Regions from separate parts of the Mus musculus genome. Here regions 2, 3, 4, 5, 6 and 7 are each reported to be linked to region 1. The links are microRNA targets in miRTarBase. Many come from high-throughput screens and were not tested one by one. Region 1 holds a microRNA gene; each other region holds the end of a gene's coding sequence.
Evidence for each region. Region 1 holds the annotated microRNA mmu-miR-466f-3p (CAUACACACACACAUACACAC, at 2,511-2,531, opposite strand). A microRNA usually pairs through its seed, bases 2 to 8, with sites in the 3' UTR of a target mRNA and lowers its output. Matches are read on the target gene's strand: a 7mer-m8 pairs with bases 2 to 8, a 7mer-A1 pairs with bases 2 to 7 and ends in A, and an 8mer does both.

Region 2: miRTarBase lists Tspoap1 as a target of mmu-miR-466f-3p. Seed matches in the 3' UTR shown: 7mer-A1 at 3,214-3,220 and 7mer-A1 at 3,256-3,262.
Region 3: miRTarBase lists S100pbp as a target of mmu-miR-466f-3p. The part of its 3' UTR that is shown has no 7-base or 8-base seed match.
Region 4: the mRNA of Slc16a9 is a reported target of mmu-miR-466f-3p. Seed matches in the 3' UTR shown: 7mer-m8 at 799-805 and 7mer-m8 at 2,504-2,510.
Region 5: miRTarBase lists Acsf3 as a target of mmu-miR-466f-3p. The part of its 3' UTR that is shown has no 7-base or 8-base seed match.
Region 6: the mRNA of Pnrc2 is a reported target of mmu-miR-466f-3p. The part of its 3' UTR that is shown has no 7-base or 8-base seed match.
Region 7: the mRNA of Ric8b is a reported target of mmu-miR-466f-3p. Seed matches in the 3' UTR shown: 7mer-m8 at 2,348-2,354.

The regions. Positions count from the first base shown.
Region 1 is chr2:10,467,181-10,471,259 of GRCm38, reverse strand. Mir466f-2 (microRNA 466f-2) reads right to left here and starts at 2,585; the gene lies at 2,492-2,585. The region is part of intron 10 of Sfmbt2 (Scm-like with four mbt domains 2); the gene reads right to left. It overlaps Mir669f (microRNA 669f), which reads right to left and starts at 4,031; the gene lies at 3,911-4,031. Mir669e (microRNA 669e) reads right to left here and starts at 3,765; the gene lies at 3,647-3,765. It also overlaps Mir669b, Mir669d and Mir669l.
Region 2 is chr11:87,782,140-87,786,218 of GRCm38, forward strand. Tspoap1 (TSPO associated protein 1) reads left to right here. Exons shown (of 32, transcript NM_172449.2): 31 at 521-571; 32 at 2,597-3,789. The coding sequence ends at 550. Gm34064 (a long non-coding RNA gene) reads right to left here. Exons shown (of 3, transcript XR_388944.3): 2 at 3,883-3,987; 3 at 1,042-1,393. Among named protein-coding and RNA genes, the nearest start is that of Mpo, 9.6 kb to the right of the region's middle.
Region 3 is chr4:129,147,454-129,151,453 of GRCm38, forward strand. It overlaps S100pbp (S100P binding protein), which reads right to left. Exons shown (of 7, transcript NM_001379590.1): 7 at 549-3,638. The coding sequence ends at 3,497. Among named protein-coding and RNA genes, the nearest start is that of Fndc5, 12 kb to the left of the region's middle.
Region 4 is chr10:70,283,315-70,287,393 of GRCm38, forward strand. It overlaps Slc16a9 (solute carrier family 16 (monocarboxylic acid transporters), member 9), which reads left to right. Exons shown (of 6, transcript NM_025807.3): 6 at 560-2,637. The coding sequence ends at 741. Among named protein-coding and RNA genes, the nearest start is that of Gm40687, 4.4 kb to the right of the region's middle.
Region 5 is chr8:122,816,881-122,820,959 of GRCm38, forward strand. Acsf3 (acyl-CoA synthetase family member 3) reads left to right here. Exons shown (of 10, transcript NM_144932.4): 10 at 512-1,007. The coding sequence ends at 656. Among named protein-coding and RNA genes, the nearest start is that of Gm35466, 4.5 kb to the right of the region's middle.
Region 6 is chr4:135,868,385-135,872,463 of GRCm38, reverse strand. Pnrc2 (proline-rich nuclear receptor coactivator 2) reads left to right here. Exons shown (of 3, transcript NM_026383.3): 3 at 10-1,538. The coding sequence starts at 28. The coding sequence ends at 450. It also overlaps a transcript of Srsf10 not described here. Among named protein-coding and RNA genes, the nearest start is that of Pnrc2, 3.4 kb to the left of the region's middle.
Region 7 is chr10:85,014,387-85,018,465 of GRCm38, reverse strand. Ric8b (RIC8 guanine nucleotide exchange factor B) reads right to left here. Exons shown (of 10, transcript NM_183172.2): 10 at 129-3,390. The coding sequence ends at 3,279. Among named protein-coding and RNA genes, the nearest start is that of Gm34633, 12 kb to the right of the region's middle.

The DNA of each region.
Region 1 (4,079 bases):
AGTACTTAACCTCCTAACTGAGACATAGCTCTTGATCAGTACTGCATAAGCTCTAAAGTTCTAAGTCACATACCATTCAAAAGGATATATGAGTGCCATTCCTGTGTGTGCTTGCGTGTATGTGCATATTCATATAGAGAAGTGAATATGCACACAGCTATACACACATGCACATTCTTGTTGGGCATCACATGAATCGCATGATGAACTCTAACTCATCATGAAGTTAAACATGAATTTGAACTCCAGATCCTCCAGACTCTGGCAAGCGTTTCACCTCCTAACTGAGACATAGCTCTGGATCACTACCGCATAAGCGCTAAAGCTCTATGGCACATATCATTTCAAAGGATATATGAGTGGCATTACTGTGTGTGCATGTGTGTATATGCATATTCATATAGAGAAGTGAATATGCACACAACTCTAACACATGCACATTCTTGGTGTGCATCACATCAATTGCATACTGATCTCTAAATCGTTGTGAAATTAAGCATGAATTTGAACTCCTGATCCTCCTGACTCTGGCAAGTGTTTCACCTAGTGAGTGAGACTTCTCCTTGACCCATTTATACATAGCTCTAAAACATTAAGTTACATATCATTCAAATGGATAGATGAGTATCAATTTTGAGTTTGTGTGTGTGTGTGTGTATTTGTGTGTGTCTCTGTGTGTGTGCATGTTGTGTTGGTTAGTTTATATGTGTATATTTATATGCATATATTAACATGCACACATACATATATGCACACATGCACATACATAAGAAACATCCCAGTCTGATTTCTATCTCTTCATGAAGTAAATTTTGTATTTGAACTCTCTCTTCACCTGACTCTGGCAAGTGTTTTTACCTTATGAGTGAGACTATTACTGACCCAGTACTACATAATATTTAAAGCTCTAAATTATATATCATACAAATGGATCAATGAGTGCCATTCATGTGTGTGTGTGTCCATGCATGCATGTATGTTTGTGTGTATGTATATGTATATTCATATACACATATACACATGAACACACTTATGTATACACATATGCACATTCAAGGGGAGACATCACATGAATCCAGGCTGATCCCAAATTCTTCATGAAGTTAAACATGAATTTGAACTCCAGATACTGATGACTCTGGCAAGGGTTTTTACCTGGTGAATCAAAACTTTCAGTGGCCAAGTACTACATAATCTCTAAAGCTCTAAGTCACAAATAATTCCAATGGATCGATGAGTGCCATTCATATGTGGGTGTCACATGTATGTGTATGTATGAGTTTATGTATATGTATATTAATATACACACATACATCACGGGATCATCACAAAAATCTCAGGCTCCTCTCTAACTCATCGTGAAGTTAAGGATAAAATTGAACTCTTTTATTATTAGGTATTTTCTTCATTTACATTTCCAGTGTTATCCCAAAAGTCCCCCATACCCTTCCCCCCCCAACTCCCCTACCCACCCACTCCCACTTCTTGGACCTGGCGTTCCCCTGTACTGAGGCATATAAAGTTTGCACGACCAATGGGCCTCTCTTTCCACTGATGGCCGACTAGGCCATCTTCTGATACATATGCAGCTAGAGATACAAGCTCCGGGGCGTACTGGTTAGTTCATATTGTTGTTCCACCTATAGGGTTGCAGATCCCCTCAGCTCCTTGGGTACTTTCTCTAGCTCCTCCAATGTGGGCTCTGTGATCCATCCAATAGCTGACTGTGAGCATCCACTTCTGCGTTTGCCAGGCCCTGGGCCTACTGACTCTGGTAAACATTATCACCTGCTGACTGAGACCCCTCTCAGGCCAAGTACTGCATAACCTCCAAAACTTGAGGTGACATATCATTCAAATGAATCACTGAGTGCCATTCATGTCTGTGTGTCTTTGTGTGCCTGTATATGATTGTATGTATGGATATGTATATTCATATACAAACAGGCAAATGCACACAAAACTATACACCCATGCACATACACGGGGTACATCCCAGGAATACCAGGCTGATCTCTAACTCATTATGAAGTTAAGCATGAATTTGAACTCCAGATCTTTCTGACTATACCAATCGTTTATATCTGGTGAGTAAAAAGTTTCATTGGCCCAGTACTACATAATTTCTAAAGCTCTAAATCACATATCAATAAAATAAATCGATGAATACCATTCCTGCGTGTGTGTTGATGTGTTCATATGAATGCGTGTATATATGGGTGTGTATGTATATGTATATTCATATACACACATATACATGCACACACAACTATACGCACATGCACAAACATGGGGGGCAAAACATGATTCACAGTTTGATCTCTAAATCCTCATGAATGTAAGCATGAATTTGAACTCCTGATTCTCCTGATTCTGGCAAGCATTTTCAACTAGAAAGTGAGAGCACTCACTGGCCCAGTACTACATAATCTCTATAGTTCTACGTCACATATCATTCAAATGGATAAATGAGTGCCATTCGTGTGTGTGTGTGTGTGTGTGTTACATGAGTGTGTATGTGTGTGTGTATGTATACATATATTCATATACACACATGCACATGCACACACACGTAAACACACATTCACATACATGGGTGGCATCACATGAATGCCAGGATGATCTCTAACTGAAGTTAATCATGAATTTGAACTCCTGATCCTCCTGACTCTGTCAACCATTTTCACCTGGTGAGTGAGACCGTTCATTGACACACTACTGCATAATCTATAAGACTCTAAGTCACATATCATTCAAATGGATCGATGAGTGCCATTCCTGTGTATATGTATTTGTGTGTGTGCATGCATGCGTGTGTATATGGGTGTGTATGTATATGTATATTCATATACACACATATACATGCACACACAAGTATACACACATATAGAGCAAGCAACACACAAATCCCGGGCTGATCTCTAACTCATCATGAAATTAAGCATAAATTTTTACTGCTGTTCTTCCTTACTCTGCAAGCATTTTCACCTGGTGAGAGAGAGAGAGCTCTTTTGGGCAAAGGAATACTCAATCTCTAACCTCTAGGTTGCATATCATTCACATGGATTGGTAAGTGGCAATTGTGGGTGTGTTTGTGTGTGTGTGCATGTTTGTGTGGGTATGTATGTATATGTATATTCATATATACATACATTTTCATGCACACATAAATATACACACATGCACATACATAGGGGTCATCACATTAACACAAGGCTGATCTCTAACTCATCATGAAGTTATTATGAATTTGAACTCCTGATTCTCCTGACTGTGAGAAATGTTTTTGCCTGGTGAGTGAGATGTCTCACTGGCCCAGTAAATTTACATATTATACAAATGGATCGATGAAAGCCATTTCTGTGTCTGTATCTGCGCATGCGTGTATATGTTTGTGTGTATGTATATGTACATTAATAGACACACATGCACATGCACACAAAACTATATACACATGCACATACATTCATGGGGGACATCCCATGAATTCTAGGCTGATGTCTAACTCATCATGAAATTAAGCATGAATTTCATCTCCTAATCCTCCTGAGTATGGCAAACATTGTTACCTGGTGAGTGAGATCTCTCCCTGGCACTGTCCTGCCTAAACTCTCAAGCTCTAAGACACATATCATTCAAATGGATGTGTGTGTGTGTGCATGAGTGTGTAAGTGTGTGTATATTCATATTCATATACACAAATGAACATGCACACACAAGACACACACCTGCCCATATATAGGGTACAGCCCATGAATCCCAGGCTGATCTTTAACTCATTATGAAGTTAAGCATGATTTTGAACTCTGGATACTGATGCTCTGGCAAGCCTTCCCTGGTGAATGAAAAGTTTCAGTGGCCCAATACTACATAATCTCTAAAGCTCTAAGTCACATATCATTCAAATGGATCAACGAGTGCCATTCCTCTGTGTGTGTTTGTGCTTGCGTTTATACGTGTGTGTGTATGTATATGTATATTCATATACACACATGCACATGCACACACAACTATACACACAGGCACATACATGGGGGGCATCACATGAATCACAGACTAATCTCTAAATTCTCAGGAAG
Region 2 (4,079 bases), not on the chromosome of region 1:
ATCCGAGTCCGTGATACCAAGGAACCCTAAGTGCTCAGCAGAGGAAGGCTCCACTAGGCCACCCTGTCCTCTTATATGCCCCTGTCTGCAGATCAGTAATGGCAGGGACCCTGCTTCTCAGGCCGTCTGACCTAACTGATGATTCCCAGGGGCTGATGCACATGAGGAGCCCTGTGGAAAAGGACCCTTGCCACTAGCCAGTTATTCAGGGTGCTCCTACCTTGCTAGGTCTGGGTGCCTCCCAGGTACCATTTGAAACCAGTTGCCCTGCAAGGTCCGACTTCTTGGGTTCTCTTTACATGGGTCTCCTTGGGATGGGTGGAATGCAACTAAGTGTCCAGACCCAGAGAGCAGGAAGGGTGTGAAGAGGCTGAGCTTCAACCAGAAACCCCACACAGTGGCTACCAACGCAAAGGCTGTGTGAAGCTGGAGCCACCAGGTACCTGCGCCACTTGGTGACTGACGGAGAGCATGCAGGCCTGTTGGTAACCCGTCTCCTCTCTTTGTTCCCTGTTCTCAGAGAACGAGGAGGAGAAGAGTCCAGTGCTAGATGGAGCTAGTGTAGAGACATGTAAGTGGGGGACTGGCTTCCGTGTCTCATGTAACCTCCATTCCCCACCTCACCTCACTAGACTTCATCTCAAATGGAGCTGATGAGTGGGAGAGGGCGATCTTGCCATGAGCCAGGTGTGGGTATGGGCCCTCCGCTCTCCCTGCCTTGCCATTACCCTGGGCAGTGTCAGGTAGCTGTCATGGGGTGGCATGTCATCCTAGCATATGACACTGCATCTTAGCTGACTCCTCATGTTCTGTCTGTCATGCAGCTTATAGAACATCATGTGATACTCATGTTATGACTCAGTGGTATTATGATACTATATGGCTGTGGTATTATAATATTGTGATTATTATTGGTGACAGGAAAGTGACACAGCCACGTCACCAGTAATAATAGTCTTCCCACCTTGGTCCTCTGTGATTCAAACTATTAGACTATCAGAAATCTGCTTTTATTCCTGTCTCCTAAGTTTCTTTGCTTAGAGGATAAAAGGGAGAGTTTGAATAGATGAAATCTATTGGAAGTCTCAAGCTATTCTTCTTTGGGGCTCAGTGAACCCTTCTTTTTGTCTCCCCAGCCCCCTCTTCCTCCCATGAGCCTTGGCTGTAAGTTTATTGACCCTTAGGACTGGACAGAGTCACTCTGTATGTTCTGTTGTTTCCTCTGCCAAGTCACCCATATGGTGGTGGTGGTGGCGGCGGCAGCAGCAGCAGCAGCAGCAGCAGCAGCAGCAGCAGCAATAGCTATGGTTGCGTACCCAGTCCTTCAGTTCTAGTCTGGGCTCTCTGGTTGGTTTTGGCCAGGAGCTTCTTAAGCTCTTGGCAGCAGTGGGGACTGGAGAGAGAGAGAAAAAAAAAGAGAAAACGCAGTTTTATCAAGAGTTGATAAGGCTAAGCCCAGGTTCAGGTGACGTTCATTTGGGAATAGCTTCCTGGTGACTACCTGGTTGGCCAGATTTCCTGCCCGTAAGTCACCAAAGAGCACTGCCTGGTGGGCCTGAGTCAGGAGGAGACTCAGCCTTGTGGATTGAGCAGGGAGGAGGGTTATCAAGAAGGTGCTCAGGGAGGGCCTGTCTGAAAGTCCCCTCAGGGGCCATTCAGGGCAGAGCCTCACCATCTCTCCTTGGCTTGGTTCTCCAAAGACCCACGAAGCACTGTGCCTCCTGCCTTGATGGAGATGGTGCCTGACCTCTTGTCTGGGAGGGTGTTCCTACCTCTAAGTGTCTTTGTCCTTGCTCTTCCTCCCCGGGGCAGAGAGATAGAGGGCTGGGAGAAGAGGGTCAGCTTGGCACCTACAGTGAGGCCCCAGTAAGGGAAGGGACACACCCAGACACCCCGAGCTACCAACGACAAAGCAGAGCCCAGATTCTGTCCCATGGAACTTCCTTAAGCAGGTTCTCATTATCATCTCCCTTCACCTCCATGCTGTGTGTGTGTGTGCACTCGCGTGCCTGTGTGTCTTGTGAGTATGTCTGTCTGTCTATGTGTATCTGTATGTGTGTATATGTGTGAGTGCATTCATATCTGTATGTGTCTTGTGAGTGGGTGTTTCTCTGTGTGTATCTGTATGTATGGGTCTATTTGTATGTGTGTATGTCTTGTGAGTGTGTCGAACTATATGTGTGTATCTGTATATGTGTATGTCTTGTGAGTATGGCTGTCTGTCTGTGTGTGTGTGTGTGAATGTGTGTATCTGTATGTGTGTGTGTATCTTGTGAGTGTGTCTGTATGTGCTTATTTGTATGTGTGTGTGTGAGTGTATCTGTGTATGTGTGAGTGTATCTGTATGTGTGTGTGTTGTGAGTGTGTGTATCTCTCTGTGTGTATCTGTATGTTTATATGTATCTGTATGTCTGAGCGTGTGTGTATCTATATGTATGTGTCTGTGTGTATCTGTATATGTGTATGTGTTTGTGTGTATATGTGTGTGTGTATATGTGTCTGCAGTAGCAGCAAGGTCTGTGACAGAAGAACAAAGGAGCAAAGGCATGGGTGGGAGGAGCTGGCCCTGGCCTTACCCTTCTTTCTTACATTTCAGGACCCCAGAATCACCATACAAGGGCCTCCAGTGCCCCCAGGCTGGCACTGTGCCCTCAGCTCTGGAAGTTCCTCCAGGACCAAACTGGGGGAGTCACAGAGCATAGCTGAGAAGAAGCAGGGTCTCCTCGCCAAAGCAAAGGAACTTCTCAAAAGGCTGGGCTCCAGGAAAGACTGAGGCTGCCGTCCGTCTGTCCTGCAGACAGAAGTGGCCCTGGATCAACTCACTGGCTGGACAGGGAAACCCAACTCCTGATCTCTGAGCAGACTGGCACTCAAAGGAGCCCAGGGGACCTGGTGAGGGTGGGGTTACCTGCACCCTTAGTGAGGAGTCCTCTAGATGGGCTCTTCCAGAGGGAACTGAGCCCCAGAGTAAGTAATCAAGCACCAAGCACTGTCAGATCAGGACTGGACCCACGCCTCTGGATTCCCAGTCTGTTCTCATCTACTCCTGCTTTGCTACCACGCTCTGTAGGTCCCTTCTTGGCCTTCCCTGCTCCAAGGATAGGCCCTGGGTGGAGATAGGGACCACTCTAACGATGGCTCTGGCTGTCCTCCCGATGGATCGTTTGCACTGGACTGTCCCCTGGGGCGGGGGCAGAGCCATGTACATACTCAGTGTATATATGTCCATACTCAGTGCATATATGTACATACTCAGTGTATATATGTACATACTCAGTGCCTCAGTCCAGGTCCTCCCTCTGCTTCACCGCACAGGCCAGGGGAGGAGAAAGGCCATGCCAAAGCGGGCCTGACCCCGCCCCATAGTGCTCCACCCCTCCCTGCCCAGGCCACCTGGCCTCTGTGTGATCCCATCCTCTCAGACCCAGGGGACCAGGGGGCAGAAAGCAGGAGTTGGGTTTGCCTTATTTTGCTCATTGGATTCAACTTCTCTCTTGCATCATTTTCTTCCAGTCCCTGTTGGGTCCAGGGGCTGAGGGAAAGGACGGATTTATGCAGCTATTTTCATACATTCCCTGTTCAGAGTGGGTAGGGGTGTCTCCCCTCACTCTAACCATCCCATCCTTCACCCCTTGTCTGGGCGAGTCTCTTTGCATGTTTTCTTCGCTGTGGTGGGAGATGTTTGATTGAACCCTCGCCCCCTACCCTGGTCTCCAGGGGTGTGGGATAGTGGGGGCATTTGTTTAAAAAGACATTTTACTATAATAAAGTCTATTTTCACAAAATTGATGCTGGGCTCTGCCTGGGCAAAAGACTCCTTAGAGGGATGGATGGGTCACGTTGATGGCTTTGAATTCATGGCTTCAGTACCCAGAAGCTCACCTTGAAGGGCAGCTGAGACCAAAACTAATCAGCACTGAGTGCCTCTCGAATCGTTCCCAAGTCCCTGGGCTGTGAGGCAGGGTAGGATGGTGGCGGAGAAGCACCCTAGAAGGTGATTACAGGAAATAGAAGAGACAAGGTGTCATTTCAAGAGAGTGGGTTGGCCACACAGGACTCTCCCTACCCCTCTTAACAAG
Region 3 (4,000 bases), not on the chromosome of region 1:
CGTAATGAAATCTGACGCCCTCTTCTGCAGTGTCTGAAGACAGCTACAGTGTACTTACATATAGTAAATAAATAAATAAATCTTAAAAAAAAAAAAAAAAGAACACCCACCAATTTCAAATGACTAATTCTGGTTTCTCCTGTTTCCAAAGGGAGAATGCCCTGGAACCGCATGGTTTCCTAAACATACACAGTGGCCGGCCATGGATCCATGGGAAGGGAAGGAATGCAAGGCACTGCCCTCCCGCCCGCTACCGGCTGCCTGGTCTCCCCCGCCCTCTGCACAGGGATATTTCAGGCTCTCCCAATGTCAGGCTCCTGACATGCACCATATGTAGCTGCAAATCCTAATCAATTGCAACATTTCTTAACTGCTGGAACGCCTTCCCCAGCACTGTAATTTACCCTCAAAAGAACAGGGAGCAAGCACTTTCTCCTTCCCAGAACCATATTCTACTAAATGCCGCCACCCTCCCAAGCAGAGCGACCTACGCAGAGGAAGGCAGAGAGTGCTCCTCCAAAGCCCGGAACAGACGGCCACAGTACATATGCCACTGACGAGAACTTTTATTTCTTTTTAATGACATTAAACACAACTGCTACAAGGGGAAAAACATGATAAAAAAGGAGGCACCAAACTTCAGTTTCATAATCGACCCCGACAACAACTCGAGTAAATCAGAGCCCGATGAGCTGCAGAGCTATTGTTATTTCGGCTCCTGACCTACACAGGAACTATTTATCAACAACACATTTTAGCTTTGCTTTGTCAAGACCCCTATGGTAAGAACGTCCCCAGGGATGATAAAAGACAGGAACACAGTTAAATGCACATAACCCTTACTCAAATTTAAAAATACAGCAAGAATTAATTTAATCTACAAGACTTAGAGGCCAAACCCAAACATAAGAGATATGCAGCTCTGAAGAGATTAAGCCCCGGCTTCTGGCCAGTACCATCTTTAAGGCTAACATGCCGGATGAGTTTTCTTTGGCTTTTTTCTCCTTAAAGAATACCATGTTAACCAGTACAGAACAGCTCTCTCCTCCCCCAGTCCACCAGATTTAATTAGCTGCTAACACTTTGGAAAAACAGAATTATCTGCGCTAGAGGAAATGTGATTGTCACATTTTCTAGTTAACCTGTCACTCATCTGCTCTGACAGAGGCAGCACTCCCATTATACATTCAGTCTTAATTCCTCCTGGTAGCAGGAGAGCAGGAGCTTTGCTGTCCCTCCACTCCCTGGGCTCCCCGTGGGAACCATTCAGCCCCAATGCTAGCTACTCCAGCGGTAGCTAATCTGCACTTTGTTTTGGTCCCATAGGTGGGTTGTTTGGCATATCTCAGTCTAACAGGCTAACTCACAGCATCTTGGACAAGTCAACTGAGGTCAACAACAAGCGTGCCCATCAAGAGAGGTGACTGGACTACTGCCTTTCAAAGTCTGGTCCCAGAATCTAAACCAAATAACTAAGAAATAGAAAAGTCTTTCTGGGGGTGGCGGGTGGGGCGGGGGGGGGGATGTCAAAAGCAGGGAGTGGTGGTGCACACCTTTAATCCCAGCACTAAGAAGGCAGAGGCAGGTGAATCTCTGTGAGTCCTGAGGCCAGCCTGGTCTACCCAGACAGGAGGGCTACATAAAAAAAAAACCTGTCTGAGGGGTGAGGGGCTGGAGGGAGAGAAAAATCAGAAGTGCAAGACCATCTTGGGTTAAATAGTGTGTTGATGGCTAGCCTAGGCTTTATAGGAGACCCTGCCGCAAAAAAGGAAGGAAAGAAGAAAAAACTTTCACTAGATAAAACTAACACACACTTGGGAACATTTATCCAAACCTATTAAAGGCTTGAAAACAAAACAAAACAAAACAAACAAAATCAAGATTTTCCTAATCACAGTCACTTTTTCAGTCCAACAATGGTGATTCATCCTTTTACTCCCAGCAGTGAGAAGGCAAGGTAGGCAGAGCTCTGTGAGTTAAGGCCAGCCCAGTCTAAGAGCGAGTTCCAGGACAGCCAGGAGTATACAAAGAAACCCTGTCTTGAAAAGCAAAAACAAAACAGAACAAAAAGATCATTTTTCTGAGGCAGAGTAGACTATTCAGGGTGGGTTAGCCACATATAAAATGAGACAGAGGCTAGGCAACTATGAATCACTCCCACAGTGACTGCAGCAGCAGGAGTGTCATATTGTAAACCCTCTCAGAATGATCTCTAGAGCTGCCTGTAAGAAATACAGATCTTTTAGGACATCCATTAAGACAGTACACAGAGCCTAGCGCTTTGGTTGGAACACCACACCTTACGCGGTGCATGGTGGTGGTGCGGTGCACGGGCTCAATCGTACTTTCCCAAGATGCTCAAACACTAATGTGAAACAATGGACCCAATGCTACAACTACAACGCTAACATCCAGGGTATAAGGGTACCTGTAACCAACGGGAGAGGCCAGTGACTCTCCCAAGGATTTCATAGGACGAAGGTTCCTTGAACAGCAGCAACACATAAACTCGGGTTCCGAAGACAGAACTGAAGATTCCTAGACATCCCAATTGTGCTGGCCTAACAACAGTCAGGATTCTGTGCCGGCCTAACGACAGTCAGGATTCTGACAGGATTTCTTCAGCAGACAGAGGGCACCTGAGAGCCATGTCTCAGTCTAACAGGACATAAGAACACTTACTGCAAAGCTTCAGGACTAACCGGTCACTGGGAGTGGGAAAAGGAAAAGAAAACAATGGGGCAGAGAAACCAACCAGTCACAAGACCACAGAGTATTGAACAAGGGTTATTCAGCTGTCTTCTGTCAGTTAAGATGTGTAAGATTTCAAACATTATGAACGAAATATATCTAATAGAGAGTGAAAAAAGCCACTAATAATTTTTTAAAAAGGCAGCTAATAGGTACAGAAAGGAGAGGATTTACACTTTTAATCTAGCCCTTCAACAGGACTTTTCTCCTTCTCCTATTTCAAATGTACTGAATTGGCAACATTAAAATACTGACAAGTATTCAAGAAACTCAAATTTAAAAAGAGGGGTCGTTAAAAGTGACTTCTATCTATTCACAAGTCAACAATAATAATACCGGCTCTTAGCTTGCAAAACAGCCTCTTCCTTACAGTAGACTGGAAGGTGAGTCTGCCTGCCCTTACAGCTGGTATTTTACTCAAAGCCTGACTGTTCTGACTTAATGCAGGCCTTCAAAAGAGAATTACCTTCATTTAAAATTTAAAAACAGCAACAACAACAACAACAGTGAACAAACAGAAAAACAATACTTAACACTGCTGAAACATATTCACCAGACAGACATACAAATCAGGGGTGGGGGGTGGCCCTCATTAAAAAACAAAAATTCAAGACAGTAATGGGCATTTCCAAAAGGTGACAAATTCTTTAAATAAAAATCTTGTGAAATAAAACTCAAAATATACAAACAAAAATAGCAGAGGAAAATGTGATGCTGCTCTGGACGGGACCCTTGGCAGGAACTGTCACTGTTGATGGGATGAGACATATGGACTGTAGGAGAAGTCTGGGAGACGCTGGAACCGATGGTGGCTCCGCTTGTTTCTGTCAACCCACTGACTCAGACTGTACCTCTGCAGAGGCCTCTGTCGGAACCGGGCGTAGTTTCTATTGAGAGAAGGAGAATAAAAACAGGAAGCGTTTTCAGCTGGAACTGTCATCTGTATACGAAATAGCTAGCACAACTACTTTTAAAGCTATGTTTAGCCAGGCAGTGGTGGCACACACCTTTAATCCCAGCACTCGGGAGGCAGAGGCAGGCGGATCTCTGAGTTCTAGGCCAGCCTGGTCTGCAGAGTGAGTCCAGGACAGCCAGGGCTACACAGAGCAAGCCTGTCTTGAAAACTCCTAAGGACTGTAAGGATCAGATTATATGGTTGCTGTTGTCTGTCTGTTTGAGACAGGGTTTCCATGGAACTTACTTGTTGGGAGCAACCCTGCTTGAACATTAACTGCTTTACTGCCTTGTC
Region 4 (4,079 bases), not on the chromosome of region 1:
GTTATTCAAGACGATTTTTGGTAGCGCTGGGGATGTAGCCCAGTCAATAGAGTGTTTGCCTAGCATGCAGGAAGCCCTTGGTCTATTCTCCAGCTCTGTCTAAAACCAGGTGTGGGAGCTCACGCCTGTAATTCTAGCACTTGGGAGGGCCTAAAGGGTGAAATTGAAGCTCATGTTTGGTATATGGTGAGTTTTAGGCCAGCACACACACACATGTACACACACGCATGCACACATGCACATGCATTTGCACACGCACACATGCACGAGCACACCTATATGCATACATGTGTGCACAGATGCACACATATGCATGCACACACACACATGCATGTGGATACATATGCATGCACACTCAGCACACACCCTGCAATAGAGATAAGCAGATCTACTTCCTCTGACTTTGTGCCTATTCTTTAATTGGAAGAAACTAAAAATACCTGCCTCAACTATTTAACAGACTTCTCTCTTAAACTACTGGCAGCCATGTTGGAAGTGGGTGGGGAGCATGCACCTGGCCTCTGTGAAACTTACATTGTTTTAACCACTCTCTCCTCAGGTTGGTTCTATGATTGGACCCAGACCTATGACATCGCCTTTTATTTCAGTGGCTTCTGTGTCCTGCTCGGGGGATTCATCCTGCTGCTCGCCATCTTGCCCTGTTGGGATATGTGCAACAAAAAACTACCTAAGCCAGCAGTGCCAACCACCTTTTTCTACAAAGTTGCCTCTAATGTTTAGAGGGATATTAAAAGGCCTTATTTTCTCTATTTTTCTACTTTATACCATACAGCAATATGTGTATGTATGTATGTATGTATGTATGAATGAATGAATATTCGTATATAACAAATTGTTAGGCAGGTTCTAGAGTCACAATCTTATAGCAAAACTTCTCTGGCTGACTCTGAAGGACAACGCACGCTCTGTCTTTGTGTGCCTTGTATAACCTTGATTCCTTGTCTTCCCCTCCCCCACCCCTCGAGAAGTGGGACTGTTCTGTTCTGTTCTGTTTCATGGTTGTTCGTTGTTCATGAGTTCAGAATTAGCCTCGCACAGTTTTCTCTGGATGAAATTTAAAGTCTCTGCTTTCCCCGTGAGTTCTCTAAGGTGCTCAGTGGGTCCTGTCTTAAACTGTGCGCTCCTCACAATTGGATTTGCGTGAAGGAGTAATGGCTGTCTCCTCGATGTCAGACCTGCAAATCCAGAGAAGACAATGAGCCATTTCATTTCCGGAAATGAAAGCGGTTGCAACATCGCTGAGCTGTCGAAGACCTTAGACAAGATAGTTTTAAATCACAGATGTCTGACGTCCGTTTTGTTTTACTGTGCTCGATGAAGTACTGTGAGGCAGTTTGGTGTCCACTGCCTTCGAACTCACTCGATTCCTCCAGCAGTCCGCCTGCATGGCCGGCTCCTAGGACCTTGCTCGCTGGTGTTGATCGGCAACCACTCTGCTGATGTCTCCAAATAACCTGTTGGTTTGCCGGTTTCCGCCTTGGAAATAGACCTTTGAACCATTCCGAAATCTGGCCAATGGGAAGCGCCCATTTGCTTTGAGCACCTCGAGAACGGGTTGCAAGGCCTTGCTTGCATGTCTTCCAAATGAAGTCCGTGGTGGTTTCTCTTGGGCTTTTCCACTATTGCGTTTCGATTTGTGGACAGTGCTAAAAAAAAAAAAAATGATGCTTTCGGTCCATAAGATGTGGGAAAGGACAAGGTAAAGAGAACTCGCTACTCTCACCCAACCGTATTTAATCCCAAGAACAATGTTTGAGGGTGAAAAATAATGTTTAATAAATGGGCTTTTTTTTCCTCTATAGAAATGGGTTTCAAGTTTGGTATGGCTGGAAATGCCCTGTGGAAACTTAAATGCGTGCTACTATGCTGCTTTCCTTTGCATTATTTTTTGAGACAGGGTTTCTTCTGCGTAGCCTTAGCTGATCTGAACTTGCAGTATAGACCAGCCTGGCCTTGAACTCAGATCCACCTGCGGCTGCATCCCAAGTACTGGGATTAAGTAGGAGTACCTTTCCTGGCTAGTACTGTTTTTCTTGAATAAAAGGAAACAAACAAACAAACAAACAAACAAGATAAACCATGAAGTCAGGTATTATAAAACAAACAGCCAAGGGTTCTTTAAGTAAGGGCTCCCTTTCTGTTGTGCCAAAATTTTCCTTTTTTTTTTTTTTTAATATGTGAAATGATTTTGCAGGACTACATTGCCTTCCTTTGGGGACACCTGAAGCACTTTATTACACATCCCGGATAGCACCTCCCAGAGGTACAACTGTGTCCTGTGTCATCAAGTAGAAAGATTCCATCGCATAGTCAGTCCTGTGGCAATGCAATAATGGGGCTCCAAGCACATGAGACTTGTGTTCTACACTCAGACTTCTGGAAAGTTCTTTGTACCTCATTCTTCAGTCTATCAAAGTTAGTAACTAAAGCCTAACTCCAGCTCCAGGGGATCCGGCACCCTCTTCTGTCCCCCACAGCCACCTGTGTATTGGTGGAATATATATATATATAATATATATATATATATATACCCCCACACATAAATAAAAATAAAAAAAGATGTCTTTAAAATTTAGAGCTATGATTTTTTTTAAGCCAAATAAATAAATAAAAATTATACTCGTTTGTATTCCAAGTCTTGTTTTCGTCAATAGTGTGTCCAAGATTCCTGGTGACTTGAGAGGTTTGATTTTGCTGACATGCCTGCAGCCATCAATGTTGACAATTAATGCAGAGGTGTCCTTTCTCATTGATATTACGCATGTGTGCATGAGCCATTGTCTAGACATGGTATATGAGCGAGTTACAATGAAAAACATGGAAAATGATTGTTTATTGTTTTTCTTTCCCGATACAGTGACACTCCAGATGAATTTAAATATATAAGTTATTGGATATAGTTTAGGTCTAGATTGGACCAAAGCAGACTCAAAAGTCATCATATTGAATTGCCTTGACCCCTGGGTTAGCAGAGCTGTTGTCCCAACTGCAGGAGCCTGGCCTTGAGGAAGGAAGAGTCACAGTAATGATTTCACAAACACACAGAACTTTTCCTTTTGAGTTGGGGTCTTGCTATGTTGCTCAGGCTGGTCTGCGCTCCAAGGCTGGTCTGTGCAATAGTTGAGGTGGTTGGTGTGTGGGTACCACTATGTCCAGCTTGATCCTTTGTAGAAGGCTCAAAGCATTCCAAGCTTATCCCGTTTCTCACAATCCTGTGATGTGGTAACCATGACTCTGATTTTATAATACAAAATGTAACTGTCCTGACATGATCACTCTTCACATAAAAGCACAGGAAGGTAATTTCCAAGAGCAAAAATTTTCAAAAAGGTCTCTCTTTGAAGAGACCAAAGCTGTCCCTTTGATTCCTAACTCGGATGGGAAAAGATATCTAGCCAGGAGAGTTTCTGCCAAGTCAAAGGTCTCAGCAGAGAAGTTATATAAATAGGAACACCCGGCAAGAATGAGCATTAAAAATGAACTTAATAAGTTTACACGGACCAGAAGCAAGTCTTCTGTGACTGGAGAGAGATTCCTGGATACTAGAAATGCCAAGAGCTGAGGGTGGGACCAGTGTGGACCCAGGGAATTTGTCTGCAATGCACCTCCTAGTAGTGTTTTGCAAGTCTTCACCTTTGCTTTCTCAGAGGAGTCAGGTGCTGGCCTAATTCTCTCCAGGGAGTCCTGTTGTCAGGAGGGATGCTTCAGTCTCCAGTGTTCAAAGGACTGGTGAGGAACAACCCCTATGAAACAACACAGTGAGGTCATAGCCCAGTGTGTGTGTGTGTGTGTGTGTGTGTGTGTGTGTGTGAGAGAGAGAGAGAGAGAGAGAGAGAGAGAGAGAGTGTGTGTGTATAAGATCTGTCACCTCAGAGAGTCTTAGCTGCCATCAATCAGTACAGGATTATCCTTAGACTGGAGGCTCCGAGAATGAAGGAGAGATCCGTTTTGAAGAAGAGAATGCCTCCCTTAGGAGTGCCTGAGGGGCGCAGTTAGCATCCACAGTGCATTTTCTCCGATGTAATCACTGTCTCTCGGTATCTTTTGTCATCGAGTCC
Region 5 (4,079 bases), not on the chromosome of region 1:
GCGGGGATGCTGCCCCAGGCCGTGCACATGATCTCTGGGTAGGTTGTCCCTGCAGCAGAGCAGGAGAACATCTGCAGGGCTCACATCCCTACCTCAGTGCCATCTGAGACACAGAACAGGACCCGCAGCCTTTCCTACCAAAAACAACGCCTTCCTCTCATTACGTTCTGGTGGTGGCCCAGAAGCTACTTGTCGGTAGTTGACCATGCTTGTCACCTGCAGGAGCCACTCTCCTGTGCCAGAGTCACCTTAAGTGGGAATGGCAGCAGGCCAGCCTGTGGTCAGTTATCCCCAGGACAAGAAGAAACCAGTCTGGATGAGGAGAGCAAAGGACTCGTCCCCTCCTCTCAGTGTCCTCACCCATGTCACTGCTGACTTTGTAGGAAGCCAGAGAGAAGACAACAGTCCTGTTGCCATCTGTCACAGTCAGGATGTGGCCACAATGGCTTCTGGATATATCAGACATTTCCCGGGGTGGGGTGCTGTCCTCAGGCTGTGCTTGTCTCTGCAGAGGTGTCCTGGCCCCCTATGCTGTGCCCTCGGAGCTCCTGCTGGTGGAGGAGATCCCCCGGAACCAGATGGGCAAGGTGAATAAGAAGGAGCTGCTCAAACAGTTGTACCCCTCAGGACAGAGGAGCCAGCCAGGCCAAGGCTAGAGAACCCCAAACACCCCGCGGTCACGTGCTATGGGCCTCGGATGGAACCCCTCCCCTCCTGCAATCAGGTTGACCGGAATCAAAACCTCTAGGGACGAATCACCAAGTGAGTTCCCTCAACCCCAGGCTGATTGTCCAAGCCCAGGTGACCCTGACCACTGGCTGTGTCCTCAGTGGTCCTTGAGATCACTGGTGTGTGCCAGTCTCACAAGCACAGTAAGGACACGGCTGTGGCCAGCTCTCCAGTGCCCGGGGCTGCTGCCTCTCCTGAGGGCAGGTCCCAGAGAGTCAGAGGTGACAGTGAGAAGAGGTGAAATAAAGACACACCGTGTAGTGCTTCTCTGACTGTGACCTGTGAGCTGTGAGTCTGCGCGCACACATTTCCTAGGCCGGCACAGCTCCCAGCCCACGTAGAACAACAAACAACAGCACTGGGTGGAGCCTACAGCTCCCAGACCATGGTTCCTGCTGCCGGGATTATCTCCCTGGAGCTGCTGTGTGTGTGTGTGTGTGTGTGTGTGTGTGTGTGTGTGTGTGTGTGTGTGTGTGTGTGTGTGTGTGTTAGAACACTTGAAGTCTTTGTAGCCTCATCCATGCCAGGTGAGGGCCATCCCCAAATAGCCCTGAAGCTCCTCTTCCCTGACCTTGTCTCACCCCAGTTTGGGGTCTTTCTGGTCCTCTGTGCCTTCTTCTCAAACCTCTTCCTACTCAGCTTCCCAGGCCTCCATCTTCCAGCCCACGTCCTGCCAGCTCAGATCCTGGTTATGTGCCCTCAGGCCACGGGGAGAAACAGCACAGCGCTCTTGAGCTCTCCCTCTCCCTCTCCTCCCTCTACCTCTCCCTCCCATCTCTCTCCCTCTCTTGCTCTCCTCTCCCCCTCTCGCTCTCCTCTCCCTCTCCCCCTCTCTCTCCCTCTCCCCCTCTCTCTCCCTCTCCCTCCTCTTCCTCCTCTCTCTCCGCCTTCCCCTCTCCCGCTCTCCTCTCCCTCTCTTCCCTCTCCCTCTCCCTTTCCTCCCCCCTCTCTCTCTCCCTCTCCCTCTCCCTCCTCCTCCCCTTCCTCTCCCCCTCTTGCTCTCCTCTCACGCTCACTCTCCCCCTCCCCCTCCCCCTCCCCCCCTCTCCCTTCCTCCCCAGACCCCTGGGTCCACTGTGTTAACAATAGCCCTGGGGCCACGTGTTAACAATAGCCCTGAGTCCACATATGGCCCTCAGCAATCTGCAGAGATCACTGATGGGGCCTCTGATGTTGCCACAAGGCCTGGTAGAGCTCCAGGTGAGACTGGACGATTCATTGTTGGAAGGAAGATGCTGTGCCTCCAGAAACCAGGATGTGGAAGGAGCTGTTGGATATCTGGGCCTCCCAGAGCCAGTCCATGGCGGTGATCCCCAGGGGCAGGATTCCCAGAGAATCCCAGTGCAGTCTGTGGGAGTGACCCTATGCAGCATCACCCTGTGTTGGGCCATCTTGCTCAAGAAAACACATCTGCTACTGGGCTCAAGACCCTGGACTCAGTGGAAAAAAAGCCTCAGGAATGGTGGGAGGTAACTTCACCTGGAGCCCTTCCATAGCAGGTATCACAGGCCAGCCCAGACCTCAGTCCTTATATTTCCAAAAGATATCCTCACAAGATCACGGAAGGAGGCACCTGTGCTGTGCACACCTACTCTGTTGACCCTTGGCCAATGCATCAAGGCCTTCACAGGGAAGCCTTGTGCTCCTGGGAGATGGAGAGCAACCAGGCACTTTCCTGGTGAACTGAGCCTGAGAAGACAGCAGGGCACTGCCCACATGGCCCAGCATAGTGAAAGATAAGATGCCCTGGGGCCATCATATAGACCCAAAGCTGGAGCCACACTAGCTCAGATAGCCATGCAGAGTGGAGAGTAATGTCAGCCTAGCCACAGGAGATCTGTATACACATACACACACACACACACACACACACACACACACACACACGTCTCTTGCCATTCTCTGTATGGTGTTCTCAAGGCCACTGTGGCTTGACTGTTTCTAGACAAGACATCACCTGCCAGAATGGGGAACATCCATTGTCACACTTGCCACATTCCTGTGGGTGCAGTACTGGTGGCTACGGCCCTTGTAGAACCTTCCAACACCCAAGAAGAACCACTTCCCCGATATCTGGCACTCTGGCCCTCCGTGTTGGTCCCTGTAATTGTTTCCCCATTGTAGCCGTGAGCAGATCAGAGCCACCATCACAGGCCCTGGTAGAGCCAAATGCCCTTACTAACATCCACCATGCGGTCAATTTAGCTCAGCAAATAGATCGATATCAAATTATCCCGATTCACCTTCATAACTCTTAAGCTAGCAATAGTGGAGGGGAGACAGGGTCACTGGAAATAAATAGCCGTGAAAGGCCTTCGTGATCTATCACCTGAAGACAGTCGCAGCATCCCACGCCAGCTGCTGACACGGTCGTTAATAAAGGCCAGGAAAGCGCTGTCAGCTACAGTGAAGGATAGCCACAGGTCAGACACGGGGACCTGCCTCACACTGGCAGGCAGGGAACAAGATGCACTATTTGTTCCCTGAGCCCTTCTCAGAGGTGGCAGTGAGTACTACCCAGGCAGAGATGCTGCATGCTCCTGTCTGTGGGTGCTTTTTACACATTGAGAGGGGCACCTCTGGCCTTCGAATGAAACAACCGAAAGTTGAAGGGAGTGGCTGTTTAATCTGAGAGAGAAGACTGTGGTGTAGAGTGTACTCACTGCTCAGGTCCAGAGCCCTCGGCCTCCATCTGTCCTGGCCACCTCTCCGGTGTCCCTCCCATCTCTGTCCCATCTGCCTAGGGTATTTTTGTGTGATCAGAGGTCGGTATGTGAGCTCCCATGGAACTGCTGTGTACATATGTGGTACACATGGACAACCGCCTCTGTAAAAGTGAGCCCGTGTAGGGGAGGCTAATATCTCTGCACACTCACAAGTGACCATGTTTGTGTGCAGGCTTGTAAAAGGGACTTTCCTGAGGAATGTGGGTGTCACATGGAGTGCTCGGGCTCAGACCAGGCTCGGCTGGGTCAGGCGCATCTGTATGTCCTATCTTTGGTGACCCTTCTGAAGCACAAGGAGGTCATTGGCCTGCAGGGTATAGCCCTGAATGACAGGTTGATCAGATAAGGGTGAGGTAGACCATTAAATGTCCTTCATCCCAGACTGTCAGGCCCCCACCACCAGTTAAAAACCAGCAACAACCAGCTGCCACACCAGCAGTGCCTAAAGCACCTGCTTGAACAGGAATGAGCTACTCCTTAAAAAGGGACAGCACGCCATCAGGCTGGCTGGACTGTGCACACATGCCACCAGGCACACACATGCATTGAACATACATAAAACATATGTACACATGGCTGTCCAGACAACACAGTTCTGGTCTCAGAAATGCCTCCCTCGGTGAA
Region 6 (4,079 bases), not on the chromosome of region 1:
TACTTACAGGTGACAAAGAAGCTGAAGATGGGTGGCGGAGAGAGGTATAACATTCCAGACCCTCAATCTAGAAATGCTAGTAAGAACCAAGAACAGCAAAATAGACAGAAGAGCAAGGATCAGAATTCTTCCCAGACGAAGATTGCTCATAAGAAAAAGGAACGAGGACATGGGTACAATCCAGCAGCAGCAGCATGGCAGGCCATGCAAAATGGGGGAAAGACCAAGAGCCTTTCTAACAACTCCAACTGGAATGCTGGTTTATCAAGTCCTAGCTTGCTTTTTAAGTCTCAAGCTAGTCAGAACTATGCTGGAGCCAAATTTAGTGAACCACCATCACCAAGTGTTCTCCCCAAGCCACCAAGCCACTGGGTTCATGTTTCCTTGAACCCTTCAGATAAGGAAACGATGACATTTCAACTTAAAACCTTACTTAAGGTACAGGTATAAAGTTAGTAGGTGTTAACTTTAAATTGTGACGCTTACACATGACATCTGATTTATGTGCTGTACACACTATACAGTGTCGATGCAATTTCAACAATTTAAGTGACTAATTGATTCTACTTGGTAAATTCAAGTTTAGATCTGGGAAATAGTAACCTTAACTTTTTTATTGTTTGATGGGAAAAATTAAGATTTATGGGTTAACACACAACTTCTGAAGAAGTCAGACAGTGCATTTAGCATATACAAGGTTGCACAGTTCAGTTTCATGGTCTAGGGTCATCCAAACTATCTTGGGCATTTTTCAAAAGATAGCGGCGCAGCACATGTCCCAGTGGTCATTTCTTAAATGCAGTGGATAAGTACCCAGAGATGTACCAAGTCTATTCTAAAAACAGACAGTGCTGACTAGCACCCCACAAAGCTGCTAAAGTGATCCTGGCCTCACCTATATACAAAGCCTGTTTGAAGTAGGGAGTTGTGTTTGTGACATTTAAAGTCATGTAAATACATGTAATAAGCTTGTAACATATGTAATGTTTTCTTAGCCTTTATTCTACAAAAATAAGACTATTTTTAGTGTGAATTTGATGAATGTAAGACCATGAACTGTTTTTTTTTTAAAAATCTTATGGCCTAATTTTGAAGGTCTCCAATTTTTAAAGGTTGCCCTTGTGCTTAAGTGCCAGAGTGAATCAATGTAACTGATGTGTGAAATCTGTTGTATTAAGTTTTTATAATTGAAAAGATTTAAGCTACATTTCCTGTTTTTTTTTAAAGAGATATAAAGATGTAGGACAAAACTTCCTCCCCAACCATCTTAAACCCAAAGACTCATTTTGGCTTTATCAACCCTAAGTCACCCCTGCCTGATTATGTGCAACCCCTCATTTTCATTGGCAAAGGGAAAAAGTCTCTTGTGTTATTAAACCCAGTAACAATTACTTCTCAATCTTTATGAGCAGAAGAGCTAAATTGTGTTTTCTCAATTAAGTTCAGAGCAAGAGTTCAAGTCAAACATTGAGTATCCTAAAGGACAAGTTCACAAAACTATAATCTGACTGAAAAATAAAATTCATAAATAAACCTTTCCTCCCTAGTACATTCTTTTTATGTAAGTGATTTATGATTGTCTACTTGGGATGACTGTGATGCTACTATGCTGTTTGACACAGGTCTCTCTAGCTTGAACGCTGAGATTGACAGTGTGCACAGCCCTGCCCAGCTGAACTATGCTTCCTCTGTGCTGATGGGGAATTTAAACATTTTATTTATGACTATTCAAACTACCGAAAATCCTTGTATGTAGGCAGATATGAGTTACAGAACAGCAAGTGCTTTACCTGGTCTCAAAACCAAAAGTGTAATTAGCTTTTGCTTATTTGCTTAAACAATCCCACCTGCAGAGGATGGATTATCCCTGGTGTGATTCAGTGGAACAACTAACAAAGTCTTTTTGTGCCTCTGCCTATACTTTTGTTTTTTTATGTATGCATTAGAATGCAGCAATATGCCCAGATCTCTAATTTGGACTAAGATGTGTGCTGATTGCATAAACACTTCAATAGACACTAATAAAACATAGCTGTAAGTTCATTCAGGAGGCACAAATAGCAAAAAAAAAAAAAAAAAAAAAAAAAAAAAAAAAAAAAGGCAGCCAGGAGGGCTATTTACAGAGAAAGCCTGCCTTTGAGGGAGGGTGGGTGGGTGGGTGGGTGGGTGGGTGGGTGGGTGGGTGGGTGGGTGGGTGGGTGGGTGTGTGTGTGTGTGTGTGTGTGTGTGTGTGTGTGTGTGTGTGTGTGTGTGTGTGTGTACTCCTGCAGCCTTCAGTAAGTATGGCAGAATCCACCAGTTGGTTGCCGAAGGCAGCCATACAGTGTTCACTTCCTATGTATTTTGGTGGCAGTGTGTAGTATGATAGACTGACTTTACCTTAAATCTATTAATCCATTTTCAAATGGCTCTAAATTATGCAACTTCCCCCCCCCCCCCATATTTTCATAGGCAATGTTCTAAATCAAGTAATACATCTCTAAAACCTCAGAGACAAGTATCTGCTTGGGTAGTTATACCTGTAAGGTACAACAAAGTCTACAGAAAAACCAAGATTTTTTTTTTTAAAGCTCCTAGACCAGTTTATTTTACTCTCCAACAAAGAAATGTGATCTGCAAAAACAAAACCTGGATTACAAAAGCCTTTTACTTCTTTACAAACTACTGTTACTAATAAAAATTTACATGCCTCAAGTTTTTATCCCCCCCACCCACTGCACACAAAAACTCCCAACAACAAAAAACCAAGAACTACAGTTTTAACACAGGGTGAATGGTGAACCAGTTTTACAAATACACAAACATTAATAACTAACAGGATTGGAGGGACAGGAAAAGAGAAGAGAGTCTTCTGCAACAATGAATCGAGTATCTTAATCTTGATGAAGCTAACAGTTGAAGACAGTAAGTTGTTTAACCTCTCTGATTCCTGGCTATTGTTGAAGTCTAATCTCAATATTTGTAAAAAAGGAACATGGTAAAAAAGTACAGTGAAGGAAGCCAGCTTCAGAGTGCTGGAGCTCCAACAGCCTACAATCCTGGAATACACTTTAAATCTACTTTTAGTAAAGTTAGAAGGTGTGTATGCAAAAACTCCTGTCCACATGGTGGGTACCCCACGGAAGACAGCTTTCTTATTTGAAAAACAGGATAAGTGTTCATTTCCTGGGAGTGATTTTAAGGTTAAGTAGGAATATCTGGAACACACACAACTTGGCACAGCAAGTGCTGAGTAATATTGACAGCCTTTCATATACATGGAAACCACAATAGACAAGACTAAAAACAAGCTACCCCAAACCACAGGGGCCCCCCCTCAAACTTACTACACTCAACCCAAGAGCTGCCGATTACTGTTACTGCATTTATAAAGGAACAGGGATATTTTCCAGCATATGAAACCACTCCCCCAAAGAAAAGAAATCTAAAAAGTAAATAGAAACAATGTATTGAATTTTTAAAATGGAACAAAAACCTCATCTGAACTCACAACTTCATTTTCTCCTCTGGAAGGCCTTAAGCTCAATTGGAAAGGAAATGGAGGCCAAGTAAAGGACAGAACACTGCAGACGGCACAGATACTGTTAAATACACAGAACCTTTAAGACCAATCCAATGCTAATGATGACGTAAATGGTATAAATACACTTAGTAATTTATAATCTCGAAATAAACGCTAAATTCAGTTTTACCAATTTTTATTGTGTCCTTAAAAATAAAACTTTAAAAGCATTTCCAACTTGATTCAAAATAAAAACAACAAAAATGAAGCCAAAATTTATAATTCTCACATGGTGCCTGTTGCCTTTTTGAGTTTGGGCAGGCTGAAAAAAAGTTAAAAAAAAAAAAAAAAAAACCAAAAACCCCCAACAAATAACCTTCATTTTACCGCTCTCTTCATTTATGTGTAATCCTACTACATTTTAGAAAAAATGGTCAAAGGCTTAACACTGTTTCCAGATTTCAGATATTGACAGTTTTAAATATGTGGCAAAAATACAACAAAAATCCGAATGTGGTGGTATTAATGGTAGGATAAACAAGCTTCATATCCTGATAAGGAACTAAGGAATCCAAAA
Region 7 (4,079 bases), not on the chromosome of region 1:
GCCACTTTCCCAAAAGACAGAAGGCAACATCTTTTTAATGGATGGAAGCCAGGGTTACAGGTTGTAATACTCATTGCGGTGACCAGCAGTGTTTGCCACACTTCATGTAACGGAATGTCACAGCCATCAACATTTGAAGACTATTTATTGGTATGGGAAAATGCTCACAATGTTAAGGAAAGCAGGGTACAAATCTGTAAACACAGCATGATCCCAATCTTGTAGTAAAATAAATTATATATGCATAGAAAAAATATAGGAAAGGAATACACCAAACATGAACAGTGATGCTCTCGGGGGTGGGAGGGCTCTGGGTCAATAGCTAGTTTTACTGTTTCCGCACTTTCTAAACATTCTACAAGAAGCATGTATGACTCTGATAGACAAGGTGGGGCCAAAGAAAGCTGAAGGAGAGTGATACCTAGTCCTGGGGGCAGCAAGACTCACGTGCCAGGGTGCTGTCCAGCCATTTGCAAAGCTTCATTCAACCTGTCATTTATAGAGAAAGGACAGCATTTGCCCTGACTGCCACTAAAAACCACTGGACATGCAAACGGGCCACAGACATCTGGAAACTGTTCCTCTGAGGAGTTCCAATGCCTTGTTTTAGGGCGTGCATTCCCAAGTCCAGTGTATGTAAACGGCCGTGGTCACTGGCTGACCCCTCTCACTGGAGGACCGACCCACACTGTTGCTCTCTGACCTAAGGGTGTCCAGGTCTTCACCTAAAATCTGCTAACTGACCAAGCTTCTCCCGCTCGTGCAGGTACCTCCCTGATGGGAACACCAGAGACTGCTGCTCAAATAGTTATTGCTTAAAATGGTCTGAGAAGGACCACCTTCCGCAGCCTGTCTGCTGTCTTAAAGCCTCTGGCTAGTGGTCCTACATGCAACAGGGAAGGTGCAGGTGTCAAGCCCACAGCTGGACCCTGGCTTGCTGAGGGTCTAGGAAGTTAAGCAGCTCTCTGGAAAGGCTCTGCTTGGAGATGGGGTGAGGTTACAAAGAAGACATGAAGCTCGCTGCTCAGTGCTCTCTGTGTGCATGGTGAAGCTACTCCATCTTTTAAAGAATTACTCCTTAAAAAAAAAAATTAAGTGCCTAGATGCAAGAGATGCATGGTGAAAGGAACTTGTTGAAAGCGTCGGAGCACAGCTACGGCACTGTGCAAGCACTTGCGCAGAGGCGGCAAGGTGGCGTTTCACCGGGCACAGCATGCTTTCGTAGGCTGATGCTCATGGAAAAGCTATCTGACCAGAGATTATAAAAATACTTTTGAAATGAATTTGTAGAATGAAGTAACAAAATAACTAAGTTCCTGCTCCTCTGAATTTTTTTCTACTTAACTAAAATTATGAACGGCAGAATAAAATGAAAATCTTATTGGGTGGTGCCATTGGCTAAAACAATAGTTATGGATGAGAGTCCTTGATGTACGGACATTCCCGAGTCTCTTACAAGTCTTTTGGTTGATCCTTTTAGAGCCGCTCAGGGCCACTATTAGGAAAGCTGTCTCTGGCCACCTGTCACACACACTATCTGCTGAGCCTTGGATGGTGTTTCTTCCTGCTCACCTTGCTGTGCACACTGGCCCCCATTTGGATCTGGAGGAGGAATCTGGGCACTGAAGGCTCCCCACTCCCGGCTGACGCCTTTTACTGTTTTTAGGGTGCCTGCTTGAAACACACTAACCTTCTCTGCCTTTGTGTGGGGTGAGGGCTCAAAGTCCAAGTGACCAAACATGTTTGAAATGAATATAAATCTTAGTGATGGTGACTACTCTTTAAGGGTTCCCTTCAGAGTAAATTTTAAGAACTTCCTGGCATCTGTCTGGTAGCTCAAAGGCCAGGGACCATTGAAGCTAAACGAATTCTCACCAATGCTATCTATGCACACTCTGTCCTGGAAAGAGGCTGCACAATGACAGGTGAGGGAGCAGGTGGAGAAAGACTTTAAAACATAAGCTGTGCAATAGTCTCCTTAGACCACGTATCCATAAAGAAACACACACACAGATGGCTAAATTGAATCATCCCCAATGTTTTATTTAATTTAAAGTTTTAAAAGGCAGTGGTCAAGCACATAATCTATGTGTGCATATATCTATGTATGCGCATGTACACACACATACATATATGAAAGAAACCAACCCCTTTTCAACTTTAGCCACTGATCACCTTGGCCTGCTGTCTACATGATTGCACATCTACTTCATATGACCATTTCTAGGAGTAAAAATAAACAGCCTTAATCAGTTTAATAGTAACTATTTGTGTTTCTTTGTTTTTAAATAAATAAAGTTACCATTAAACTGATGACATATGGTAGAAAGGTAGAACACACACACAAATACACACAGAGACCCCAGTTTAAAACATGTGACATACGAATGACCTTTATGTACAAACGGGTGCTGTTGGCTCCCTACCCCCAGCACAGGCCACAAAAGAACTCCCACTACTCGGGGAGCCCCATCCTCTCTGTTGCCTGGAGGATGAGTGTGTACTTGGCACCCTGAGTGATACCTCAGAATGCACACTGTGGACGCAACGGTACAGATGGTGGTCCAGCCCTACGGTACTAGTAGTGTTCAGGAACGAGGGATAAATAGGCACGTGTAGCTGCCTGAACTAAACCATTACTTCTAACTCCTCCCAGGAAGAAATGTAATCTCAAGTTTTCGCTAAATGACACACTTTTAGAGTGTAATAGGTTTGTAAGTCTGGGGCCATGTGTGTGTGTGCGTGCGTGTGTGTGTGTTTCCACATTTGTATAAAACTGAAATGAAGGGTAGGGCTAGGCTTACAGAACAGCTGCCTGGCTTTCGTTCAGTCAGTGCTGATCTAAGGAGTCACTTGCCTCAGCCCTTATTTATCAGCTCCTCGGGCCCTCAGGGGCCCCAGGTCGCTGGAGAGACTCAGAAGGGGCAGTTGACATGGGTGGGTGGAAGGACACGCAGAATCTTCGGCAACAAGACTGCCAGATCTGACCAGGGCTGCTTGCCGAGTGAAGTCCCGTACTCTGTCCTGGTGCAATGGGATGTCTGCTTCTGCTTCTAGCCCCGCAACTCTGCCTAACTGCAGCTCTGTATGAATGCCTCAATGTTGCAGAAAACACAGGATTACCTCTTAAATATGCTGGATTCCCAATGAGTAAACCAGTTAATGTGTTTCTAGCCAAAGCGAGGGCATAAACGTTTTAGAGAAAAAGATTCCCCTGGAGCTACAGAGAAAAGATGCTGATAAAAGCCATATTGAGAGTGGAGCAGGTGATGATGCTTTCAGTCTGTGTCCGAGCTGGTCTCTTCGATGACAGAATACTGGCTGAGTGCTTCCTCCAAAGGCGTTATTGTCCCGTCAGGTTTTAGTCCCATTGGTTTAAGCAACTCCTCTCTAGAAAAAGAGATAAAAGAAAGAGAAAAAAAAAAGTATTCACCAACATCACACACACACCCTCCCCCATCCAAATCCACAGCCTTTTAAAAAGAGAAGTCTTTAAAAACCAAAGTATTTTCTCCCGAGCTCTCTGTGTATTTGTAATAGAAAGATGAAAGGGGCATGGAGAAAGAGGGACATGAAAGGCTTCATTCACACAAGCCAAACCTAAGCCAATTAAAGGAGGAGAAGTCAAGGCCCAAATGCGCTCAGGACAAGGAGCAGGTCTCTCTGGGTTTGAATAATTAACTTTATTTTCCTCTTGTGGATCTGTTTTGTCTTAGAGAGGCTGACGCTCCGGCGGTTCACCTGCTCATCTCAGAACTAAAGGCACGTTTCATTTAGCCGAATCAGTTGGTCAGGCTTGGGTCGCTGCCATCATCTCCAATTCACAAACACTTGTTGGTTCTCTTCAAACCAGTCGGGTTTCCCCAAGTTCTCCTTCCCTCTCTCTCTCTCTTTCTCTTTGTTTAAAACACCATTGCTTTTGTTTGTGGCAGTTTAATTATGGGATTGACAGCCATTTTAATCTCTTCAAAGCACCCCAACTGTCTCTCTTCACCTAATCCAATTGTATCCACTCCACAAGTTACAGCCTCATCTAAGATGATTAATTATTGATTAAGCCAATCAAAAAGCACCAGGAA